Linked DNA regions of Canis lupus familiaris. The protein of the gene in region 3 purifies or fractionates together with the protein of the main gene of each other region. This does not show direct contact. Links are inferred from orthologs where the notes say so. Each region holds a gene or a part of one and is shown on either strand. Other genes may lie near its edges.

Region 1 (3,648 bases), about 46 Mb from region 3:
TCTAAATTGGCCCCTTTGAGTTGACTCATTTCCTAGACTATTCCCTCAAACTGGAGAACTCCTTGAAACAGAAAAAATGCAAGCTGGAGATCAGTAGCAGAACTAGCATTTTCCAAGAAGAAAGAAGAAACTAGCATTTTCCAAGAGATTACTCCCCCCAAATTCAGGGGGATAATAATGGATAATAGAAGCTATGGAATATTGCTCCTAGCCTTTGATGGGATGCTTCTATCTTGCCACCACCATTAGAACTAAGATTAACTATGGATCTTCCTTGAAGCAGAAATTCTCCTGCATCTTTTAGTCCTATGTCTGCCAAATTGCAGGGACTCAGTAAGCATTAACCATATAATAAATAAATGAATGAATGAGGTGCACCTGGCTGGCTCAGTCAGAAAAGCATGCAACTCTTGATCTCAAGGTCCTGAGATCAAGGCCCCACAATGAATGGAGAGATAACTTAGGTAAAAACTTTTAAATAAATGAATTATATAAGAGTTATTACTCTCTTGAGGATAAGATTCTTTAACTATAAATAATAATGCAAACACTTTCTGAGTACCCATTCTGTCCACTGCATTCCAGGAAACAGAAAAATTTTTTACTCTAAAGAAAACATTACCTGACACTACTGCTTCCATTTATGGAATATTATCAACACCTAATATGTATTCTTTTTCTCAATGCAATGTTTAAACAATAATTTCAAGTTCTTAATATTTTAATTTTCTGAGTTGTCTATGCACAAGGGAATATAAATACATAATATTCTATAGGAAACTAGTATACTTTTTAAAAAAAGAACTATTATTATTTGAAGTCATCAGCTTCCTTACTTGTATGAAAAAAGAGTTGACTTTTAATTTCTTACCCTTTATGTTCATGGAGAAGTCTGAACACAGCACAGCACTCTGGCTGCAGGCCTCTCACCTTGAGTGCTTTCATAAGGCAATCATGCAAACTCATTCCATTTCGCACATTGACCTACAAACAAAAGACCATCTTTAGAACCAACAACAGCTGCACATCCCTTGGTGAGCAAAGAAATAAATGTACCAGTCTATAAAGATATATGCAGATTTATGACAGCATTATTTGTAATGGTAAATATAAATGCACACAGAAAATAGCTGGAATGTCCAATAATAGGTAAAAGCCTAATGTCCAATAGGCTTGGATAAAGCCTAGAATATGTGTGTATGTCACTACTATATTATTTACAATGACCTAGAGGGAGGGGTGCCCATATGTTAATTATGAGAAAATATTTTTCAGAATAATACAAAGAGATTATTCAAAGGGCAGGAAACCTATATATATTTATATATGTTGTATGAGTCTGAAAAGATATATCTCTAGCTATTAACATCAAGAGAGTGGCTGAGAGAGATAAAATGATCAAACTTCCCTTCACACAACTCTATTTTAATTTGCTGAGGGACACCTGGATGGCTCAGCAATTAAGCTCTGCTTTCAGCTCAGATCAAGTCCCACATCGGGCTCCCTGAGGGGAGCCTGCTTCTCCCTCTGCCTATGTTTCTGCCTCTCTGTGTCTCTCATTAATAAATAAATAAATAAAATCTCTTTAAAAAAAAAAAAAACTTGCTGAAATGTACATGCAAGCATGAACATCCACCAGAAAGGAAAATAAACCAATCTAATCTATAAGCAAACAAGAGTTTTTCTGACGAAAACTTGTATTTCAACCTGTTTGAAACAAGATGATTTATCTTCCTGACAAAAATTCCATTTCATACACACTTCACAACTGTAAGGGCAAGCAAGGAGAGGAAACAGAGCTTCTGCCCTGCTACAAAAACAAACACTACTAATTTAAATAAATGTGCACACCATTCCAGGTAGCCTCAGTGTATGTCCTTCCACACTCTTCCATACCCAATCTTCAAAAGCTAGGCAGGTACTCAGAGACCCAGTGTAAGTGTGAGTAGTCAGGGTGCTAATAATAGCAGCTATATAAAATTTCGACTAAGACTTTAAAAGTTTTTATAAAAGCCCCATTCATTTTGTTTTTCTTTTATTTTTTGGAGAGAGAGAGAGAGAGCACGCAAAAGGGGGGGGGGGTGGAAACGGAGGGGAAAAGGAAGAGGGAGAAAGAAAATCCCAAGCAGGCTCCACACCTTGCACAGAGCCCAACACAGGACTCGATCCCACAACATCAACATCATTTTGACCTGAGCCAAAATCAAGAGTTGGCCTCTCAACCAACTCAACCACCCAGGAGCCCCTCATACATTTTGTTTTCAAAGGCAATAAAGTTAATTAAAAGTGAGGCAACTAGAGTCAGTACGGCCAGTAGGAGAACAGAATATAGATTTGCAGGGCTTGTGAATTGCCCACAGTAGAGTTCCTGTGCTCAGTGAAAGTGTGACAGCTGACAGTGGCCAATCCAGAGGAGGTGAGTGTATGTTTGGATCCATTTTAAAAGTCTGAAGTATTTAAAATGTTCCATGGCAACTTTATTTTAGATTTCTTGAAGCAGTTATACTCTCAGATCCATTAACTTCTTGCTTTTCAGAAACAAAACTAAGTGAGATATATGAATCTGAACTATGAAGACAAGACATCAAGAATGAGGACAATGAAAAGGAATACATACACACTAACCAAATCATTACTTGCATCAAATACTGTGCAACAGGGCCTTGAAAACTATAGTGCTGTGTTATACCATTAATCTTCATTAAAAGTCACAGACTCTAAGGACGCCCAGATGGCTCAAGTGGTTGAGTGTCTGCCTTTGGCTCACAGCGTGATCCCACTCCAGGGACGGAGTCCCAAATCAGGCTCCCTGCGAGGAGCCTACTTCTCCCTCTGCCTGTGTTTCTGCCCCTCACTGTGTGTCTCATGAATAAATACATAAAATCTGTACCAAAAAAAAAAAAAGTCACAGACTCTAAGAGTTAGACAGTTCTTTAAATAAATATCCTCTAATTCAGTGGGGTTCACAAATGTGGCTGGCATTAGAATCATCCAAGGAGCTTATGAAAATATAGATTCCCAGCCTCCCCACTCCAATACATCCAAGGATTCTGCTTCACCTGATTTTGAATGAAGCCCAAGAATCTATATTTTAACCTGTGTCAGGTGATTCTAATGGTCATTTTTTTTAATTTTTATTTATTTATGATAGTCAGAGAGTGAGAGAGAGAGAGAGAGAGAGAGGCAGAGACACAGGCAGAGGGAGAAGCAGGCTCCATGCACCGGGAGCCCGACGTGGGATTCGATCCCGGGTCTCCAGGATCGCGCCCTGGGCCAAAGGCAGGCGCCAAACCGCTGCGCCACCCAGGGATCCCCTGATTCTAATGGTCATTAATGGTCCTCAGCTGTGGTCTAAGCACCCACCCAATAAGTAGGCAGTGTACATATTTGTACACATATGTACAAAATAAATGACAAGGTTTTTCAATCAACTACCAATTATACATCTACAACTATTTAAATAATATACATATCCTTTTGGTCACTTTCCTCTCTACAACTCTCCGTGGACACATGTTGAATTCAGTTAAATCTGACTAATTTCTGGAACCCACTAAGTGATTATGAGTCATTCTGGGTTCCAAGCAGTGAAGCAACCTAAGGATGATTAGAAAATACTAACTCAACCTGCTGGCCAGCAAGGGACTC
Region 2 (3,648 bases), on a different chromosome or scaffold from region 3:
TAAGGATTTTATTTATTTAACAGAGAAAACGAGTGAAGGGGCAGGAGAGGGAGAAGCAGACTCCTCGCTGAGCAGTACCCTGAAATCATGACCTGAGCTGAAGGCAGATATTTAGCTGACTGAGCCTCCCAGGCGGCCCTCAAATTTTGATTTAAAGAAAACGGAGAATAAAAAAAAAAAAAAAAAAAAAAAAAAGAAAAGAAAAAGGAGAATAATACATGTCAGACACTAATAGGCTCTCTTTAGTAATCTTCTGAAAATATCTACAGAATAGATACATTTATTATCCACATTTTAATTTTTTTTAATTTTTATTTATTTATGATAGTCACAGAGAGAGAAAGAGAGAGAGGCAGAGACACAGGCAGAGGGAGAAGCAGGCTCCACACAGGGAGCCCCATGTGGGACCTGATCCCGGGTCTCCAGGATCACACCCTAGGCCAAAGGCGGGCACCAAACCGCTGAGCCACCCAGGGATCCTTAGAGTATTTATCAAAGAGTTTCCAACAACTAGCTTTACATCGAGTGACTTCACTGTAGTGGCTCAGGAAGGGGCAGGCTCCCTCCTTCCCAATCACCCCATCAGATATCACCTGCTGCTGAGTTGCATGACAGAGTTTGGACTGGACGCCCCATACAAGGAGTCTTCAAAATGTTCAGACCCTCAAGTCTGGCCCATGAAGGAAAAAAAAAAAATCTTAACCTGGGAGTGAGAAAATAGTGGTTTAGGACCACTGCCTCCAAATCTACATCCTTCAACACTCAAGAAAAAAGCCCCATTACTGATCAACCCCAAGGCTACGAGCCCCCCATGTTTGGCAGTTATCTTCAGGTATAACTACTTTCCCTGGTGAGCTTCTTCCTTGACTTCTGGGTTAAATACAATGATGCCAATGCTGTCTCAGTCATTAACACCATCATCCTTTCTGTAAGAATTTCAGATGATGGTACACGTCTGATTTAATTCTTCCTTTTGTGTTTATATTTGGGGTTCCTTCCTTGTTTCTTTAAAGTAGGCACCAAGCCCAATATGGGGCTTGAACTCACCACCCTGAGATCAAGAGTCACATGCTCTACCAACTGAATCAGCCAAGGGCCCCTTAATTCTTCCTTTTGCATTGAGATAAGACTGTCGTTTCCTGTAGTTTCAAAAACTACAAATACGCTGAAATTAAAACATGAGATCTTAGGAATCAAATTAACACAGGGGCTAAAAAATTAAAATCTTAAAAAAAAAGGGGTGCTTGAATGGCTCAGTCAGTGGAGCCTGCAACTCTTGACCTTGGGGGTAATGAGATCAAGCCCCACACTGGGGGGAGAGACTACTCAAAACAAAACAAAACAGACAAAAAAAACAAAGCCAAACACAATCTTAAAACAAAAACAATTTAAAAATAACACAGGTACCAAAACTGTGGTAGAAGGTAGTCACTAGTGTAGCTTATATGCGCATCACCCCTCACGCCTCCCCCTCCAAGAGGGAAGGCCAGGTTACCATGGTCTCGGAGTTAAGTCTAAAACAGCAACCTAAACTGAGACCAAGCTAACTTGTTCTAGCCAAAGGAAGCCCAACTGTCTTCTGCAATAGTATTTCCGTGTAAGTCAGCTCCAGACACCTGGTCAGTGGTGATGGGCTTGGGACACAGTTCCCTCAGCAGTGGAGCAATATTTGGAGACTAATATTGAAAGCTGCGCTTGGTCTGGATATCATCAAGAATCTGCTGTAGCTCCTCATCTTCAAACCGCCCCTCCAAGCTACAAGAAGAAAACCAAAAGAAATGAGTATCTCAGGAATTGACAATGTTCCCTACACTCTTTTGAACACATGCTCATCTTTGAGCACCACTTATACACTTCTCCATTTACCTCTAAACACTGACACCTCTACCTTCAGCTTTATTTCTGCCATTCCTTTTAAACACATATGAAGTGTTTCAAAGATTTAAGAAAGTATAAAAATATGTTAACCCTAACAGCTACCCCTACTTGATTTAGATTTCTTTAATAAACACAACAGGAATAAATTAATGGCTCTGTGTATGCTCCCCCCATTGCAATACCTTCCCCAGAATTAATAACCATTATCCTGCATTTGTATTTATCATTCCTATACATATTTTTAAACTTATTATTATATACATATATAAAGGTATCTACAAGCCATATGCAGCACTGTTTTCAAACTTTTAAGAAATGACATTGTAATACATTTATCCTGCAAATTTTTTCACTCCGAATTGATTCTGGTATTAGTTATACTCCATATTGTTCCAGTTCATTAATTTTTGCACTGCTACATAAATGATTTATCCATCCTCTCGTTTACTGACTGTCAAGCTTCTGTTATCACTAACACTGCAGTAATGAACATTAGAATACATGCTTCCTTGTAGAATGGTATGAGCTGCTTTTAGGCATGTACCCAGGAATGGATTTTTAGATAACAGGGTATAATCATCTTTAACTTTACTAGATGTAGCCAAACTGCTCTCCAAAGTGACTGTACTAATTTGCACTCCTAGGATCCCTGGGTGGCACAGCGGTTTAGCGCCTGCCTTTGGCCCAGGGTGCGATCCTGGAGACCCGGGATCGAATCCCACGTCGGGCTCCCGGTGCATGGAGCCTGCTTCTCCCTCTGCCTGTGTCTCTGCCTCTCTCTCTCTCTCTCTGTGTGACTATCATAAAATAAATAAAAATAATAATAAAAAAGATATAATTTGCACTCCTACCACCAATGTGAGAGATTCAGCTGGTCCACATTTTTGCTAACAGCTGGCATGGCTACAAATCATATTCACACCCTGTTGGTGCTATCTGTCCCGATTTCAAAAATACATACTTTTTAGACAAAGTGATTCTACTTGTAGGAATTTTATACACAGAACTCAGCACAGCGGTGCTTACCTTGGTATCAGTGCCTTTGACTCCTCAGCAGTCTCTGGGCAAAGGTTGGCCAAACAGGCCAACTCAAACTTATGAAGCTTCTTCTGGAGCAACAAGCTGATCATGGTGAAGAAAATCAAAACAAACAAAATCAAAGAATGATGAGTAGGAAAAGAGAATGAAAAGTAGTTAACAAGTATGAAAAAAAAGTAAAGCACTTCCAATTATTTCTACATGGTTAAGCTTGGCTGCAAAATCTACTTTAAATTCACTTCCTGTTCCTATTCTTGGAGAACACAAAGTTACAATGAAATCAGGCAGACACAAAAGCAATCAGAGCACATCAGGCCTGAGAACCCCCTATTTTAACTTTTGAAAAATTACTATGTAATTTACGGACTGTACAACCTTCCCCAAGAATTTATTTTGCTGTTCTCTGCTTTTATCACTGTACCTTGCTTCTTTCAACATTAATTTTATTACAAATACATGATGTTTGTGTATTTTGACTTGGAAGGAAATTCTCTTAAACTTATCTAAAAGTTGATTAAGCGTCTGCCTTCAGCTCAGATCATGATCCCAGAGTCCTGGATGGAGCCCCACATTAGGCTCCCCTGCTCAGTGGGACTCCTGCTTCTCCTTCTCCCTCTGCCTGTTACTCCCCCTGCTTGTGTTTTCTCTCCCTGTCAAATAAATAAATAAAATCTTATAAACTTACCTAAAAAATAAATATAGGCATACCTTACTTTGTACAAATATTTGTGT
Region 3 (4,151 bases):
GCTAAATGCTGCTGATTTCATAGTTTTCTTGGCACCTACACACCAGGTATGGGCAGGTATGTGACAACACCCATTTTACAGAGGGGAAAACTGAGTCTCAAGATGACACAAGCTCCCCCTGGAGCTTACAGGGCATAGCCACCATCTGAACCCAGGGCTGCCAGCCCCCAAGGCTGGGTCCTCCTCTCGTAACCTGGCTCACCCTCAAATGCCAAATAGAAAGAAAAAGGAGAGGCAGCTGTGCAGTCCAGGCTCACGTCACGTACAGGCAGTTCGGTGGCAGCCAATGCTGACAGCTGAGTTAGCTGGGGTGCAGGGCCTGGTGTGATTTCTACGAGGCTGGCTCCAGCTCCCAATGAGGGGACAACCTCTCCCCACATTCCCCCCACTCCAACCTGCTTCCAACTCTGCTCACCATTAATCAGCTCCAGGGCCTCCTCCTTGGTCCTGGTGATCTTCTCCTGTCGCCAGGATGAGGGCCGCCGGGACTGGCTGTGCTTGACAAGCAGGTGCGAGCAGCGGACCCTGGTGGGCTCCCCTTGTCCATTTTTGCTGCCACTGCTGCTGTTGCCACTCGGCCGCTCCCACTGGCTGGCATTAGTAATGTGATTGAAGTAGTATACCCGGCCTGGAGGAGGGGGGATACAGGAATTCAGCTGGGACCTGCTCAAAGGACACCACCCGGAGGCCAAGATGACGGACCGGCCAATGGGATTCCTTCATTCAACAAATCCCCTGAGTCCACCTCGAGCTACAGGCCCCGAGGGAGCCAGCATTCTAGATGGGGATGGGCAGGCCCCAGACAAGCAAATAAGACAATGTCATAACTTCAGTTATTAGTGACTTCAAGGAGGAAAACCACCCAGAGTGACAGGAGAGACGAAGCCGGTGTGGGGACAGGCAGCCAGGCTGCCTGTTCAAGTCTGGCTGTCACTCACTGTGTGAGCTAACCTCTCTGGGCCTTGATTTTGTCACCTGTAAAATGCAGATAACAACAGTCCCTGCCTGTAGGGTTGTGCTAAGGACTGAGTGAGCTCACAGCGGTAACACACTTAGACTAGTGCCCAGTACACATTAGGAGCGTGACAGCTATCATCTCCCTGTAGACGACAGAAGTGAGGCCTCACCTTCCACACCTTTGGAATGTTTCCTGAGTGTACACTTGGCCCCAGGCACACATGGCTGGAGGCAGGAATTAAACCCAGGTTGCCAAACATGAAAGCTCTGTTCTTAACCCGCACCCAGTGTACAGCGCTGCACAACTATGGACCAGCAGTACAGGGGGGTCAAACGTTACCCAGGGCCCAAGGAGCAGGAAGGAGGGAAGGCCACAAGAGAGAAGATTGAGGTAGAACCCAGGAGAGCCCAGGCATCATTCCAGGGGCTGAGATTTTTGCACGACTGGCACCCAGCACCGTGAAGAACTGAAGGTCACCCCTGAGGAAGACCATTAGGGTGGAGCCGAGCAGAAATGGCCAGAGAGGGGGCCCAGAACAGGGCAGAGCATCAGGATTCATGCTGTCAGCTGTGGCCACGGAGCAGGGCTGGAGCGGGCTCAGTGAGAGCTGAGCCAGTGACCGACCCTAAAACCTTGCAATGGCCTCTCTCTCCATGAACCTTGGTTTTCTCATCTGAAAAGTGGGGGTGAAGCGAGAGATTAAGGACATAACTTCACGGGGCTAATGTGGAGAACAGTGATGATCCGTGCAAAGTGCTCACCAGAGGGCCTGGCCTTCAATGAGCAGATATCACTGTGACTGTGATTTTTATGGGCTGGGGAGGCAGTGCGGTGAGATGCTGGGCCTGCTCCTCACTGGTCTGCAGTGACAAGGGCAGGCGGGCTCTGCTGTCAGACTGACCGGACTCTAATCCAGCCCCCACCCCCTGAAATGAATGACCTTGGGGGAGCTCCTTAAGTTTTCTGACTTCTGCTTCCTCACCTGCAAAACGGGGTGATAACTATCCACCTCCCAGAGTTGTGGTCATTCAGAGAGAGAGAGGGAGAACACACTCCAAACACACTTGGCACAGGGCTGGGCGGTAAGATGAGCGTGCGGTTACGGGTATTATTACTGTGGATAAGCCTCAGATCGGGCTCCCGGCACAGGGTCCATCCACCGGGCGGCGACGACAGACTCGGGTTAGGCGGGGATGGCCGGCGGGTTAGCAGGGGCAGGTTGTGGGCCCGAGGCCCGGCAACGCTCTGAGGCCACGCCCTGAGCGTGGGGTTGGGGTGTCCTTCCCCGGGGTGCCCCCCGGGCCCAGCAGGGTGCAGACACGGTCCCCGGGGACGTCGGGTGCAATAGGCCAAAAGGTGTCAGCCGGATCGGCAGGGCCAGGGCCATCACCTGGGGGAGTGCTGCGGGATCCCCGGCCCCCCGCCCCCGCCCCCCCCACCCCCGGCAGCGCGCTGGGTCTCTCCGGCCCCGCCCCTTGCCTCAGTTTCCTCCGGCATCCCCGCTCCTGAGGTTCGCAGCCCCCACGGGGCGGGCCCGGGCCGTTACCCTGGGAAGACGCGGAGGAGCCAAGACCCCACGGGAATCGGGCGGCGGCGCCGCGCCCCAGGGGCGAGCTCGAGCCCTGCTTCCGCGGGCCCGCGCGGCCCCGCCCCAGCCCCGACCCCCGCGGCACCTGAGCTGCGGCTCATGCGCTTCTCCCAGCCGGGCGGCAGCTTCTCCTCGTCCGCCATCTTCCCTCCTGCCGCAGCGCCCGCTCCGCCTCCGCCGCACCGCCTATGCCGCCCGCACCCGCCCACCGCCGCCGCCGATTGGCTCGGCCCGCCTCGCCCCGGGGCCCGGCGACGATGCTCATTGGGCGCCCGAGCAGTCCGGAGAGGCCTTCGGGCTTTCTATTGGGTAGCGGCGAGACTGGGCGGACCCTCCGTGCGTTCTACCGGGTCCCGCCCCCGTACGGCCTCCCCCGGATCCCGCCCCCTTCCTCCCTCGGCCGCTGACTGGTAGGGAAGGGGCTGGAGCCCGTCCTTCTCCACAGCCTCCGGCGAGCTTCACAGAAGTCCGGGCACCTCCTTTGCGTCCTTCGCCGCAGGCCCCATCCGATTGGCTACTGCGGCAGTAGTTCCCGCCTTCCTCAGCCGTTCCCGGAGGCCCGCGCCCCCTTATGCGGAAGTGTCCGGGTGGTTTCGAGGTGACGGCAGCCCACGAGGTACTTGAAAGAGGCGGTGCTGCCTTAGCTGTTGCCGTAGCAACGCAGTTGCCTTGGTGATGAGCAGCGAAGAAGCCTAAATTTGGCTCCTCCATCCTCCTTCTCCCCACCTGTTTCCTCCAGATGTCCAAAGCTGTCCCCCCACTTTTTTTTTTTCTTTTGCGAGACTAACCCTTTCCCTGTGCCACTGACCAAACATCTTCTACTTCCTTTGGAACCTACTTAACTTATTCTCTCGGTCTGGCTCCTGCCTCTGTCCTGGGTGACTGGTGGGTGTTGGCATGGCCACTTAGCTGGCGACACAGGAGGATGCGTCTGTAGGAGGATGATGAGCTCAGTTTGAATCGTCTTAAAATTGAGTCTGCGGCACCTGTGGGACTCTGGGGAGGTGCCTGGGGACAGGCTGGAGATAGATACGAGAGGCAAAGACACCAACAAGGAAGAGTTCAATGATAGTTCATCTAGAACTAGACCCCTATGTGACCATTGAAAAAGAATGAGGCGGGGATCCCTGGGTGGCTCAGTGGCGTAGCACCTGCCTTCAGCTCAGGGCGTGATCCTGGAGTCCCGGAATCGAGTACCACATCGGGCTCCATGCATGGAGCCTGCTTCTCCCTCTTCCTGTCTCTGCCTCTCTCTGTGTGTGTCTCTCGTGAATAAATAAAATCTTAAAAAAAAAAAAATGAGGCACAGTCATATAAAACATGGGAAAACATGTCTACAAGAAATAGGATATAGTAGGTTAAGAGCATTCAAGAGCCAGATCGCTTGTGTTCAAAGCCTGGCTATGACTTTGAAGAAACTAATCTCTGTGTTTCAGCTTTTCAGCTTCTCCATCTGCAAATGAGAATAAGAAATATATATATCTCATACATACCTTTGATGCAAAAATTGAGTTAATCTGTAGAATGCTCTCCAAACAGCGTCTGCCTCATAGCAAAAATATGTTTGATGAGTGAAAAGAAAAGCTAGTCACTGTACAGTGTAGC

The links.
Region 1: the proteins of PIN1 (region 3) and RAF1 purify together in Homo sapiens (co-immunoprecipitation; 3 studies listed by BioGRID and IntAct, with this or other methods). This does not show direct contact. The link is inferred for Canis lupus familiaris from reciprocal best matches to the Homo sapiens genes PIN1 and RAF1.
Region 2: the proteins of PIN1 (region 3) and POLR2D purify together in Homo sapiens (co-immunoprecipitation; 3 studies listed by BioGRID and IntAct, with this or other methods). This does not show direct contact. The link is inferred for Canis lupus familiaris from reciprocal best matches to the Homo sapiens genes PIN1 and POLR2D.

Annotation. Positions count from the first base shown.
Region 1 is NC_049241.1:6,018,807-6,022,454, reverse strand, and holds part of RAF1 (RAF proto-oncogene serine/threonine-protein kinase), read right to left. Parts: intron 985-3,648; coding exon 872-984; intron 1-871. UniProt on the Homo sapiens protein: Serine/threonine-protein kinase that acts as a regulatory link between the membrane-associated Ras GTPases and the MAPK/ERK cascade, and this critical regulatory link functions as a switch determining cell fate decisions including proliferation, differentiation, apoptosis, survival and oncogenic transformation.
Region 2 is NC_049240.1:24,124,331-24,127,978, reverse strand, and holds the end of POLR2D (DNA-directed RNA polymerase II subunit RPB4), read right to left. Parts: intron 3,001-3,648; coding exon 2,905-3,000; intron 1,756-2,904; coding exon 1,677-1,755; 3' UTR 222-1,676; downstream 1-221. UniProt on the Homo sapiens protein: Core component of RNA polymerase II (Pol II), a DNA-dependent RNA polymerase which synthesizes mRNA precursors and many functional non-coding RNAs using the four ribonucleoside triphosphates as substrates.
Region 3 is NC_049241.1:51,560,335-51,564,485, forward strand, and holds the start of PIN1 (peptidyl-prolyl cis-trans isomerase NIMA-interacting 1), read right to left. Parts: upstream 2,838-4,151; 5' UTR 2,690-2,837; coding exon 2,632-2,689; intron 629-2,631; coding exon 416-628; intron 1-415. UniProt on the Homo sapiens protein: Peptidyl-prolyl cis/trans isomerase (PPIase) that binds to and isomerizes specific phosphorylated Ser/Thr-Pro (pSer/Thr-Pro) motifs.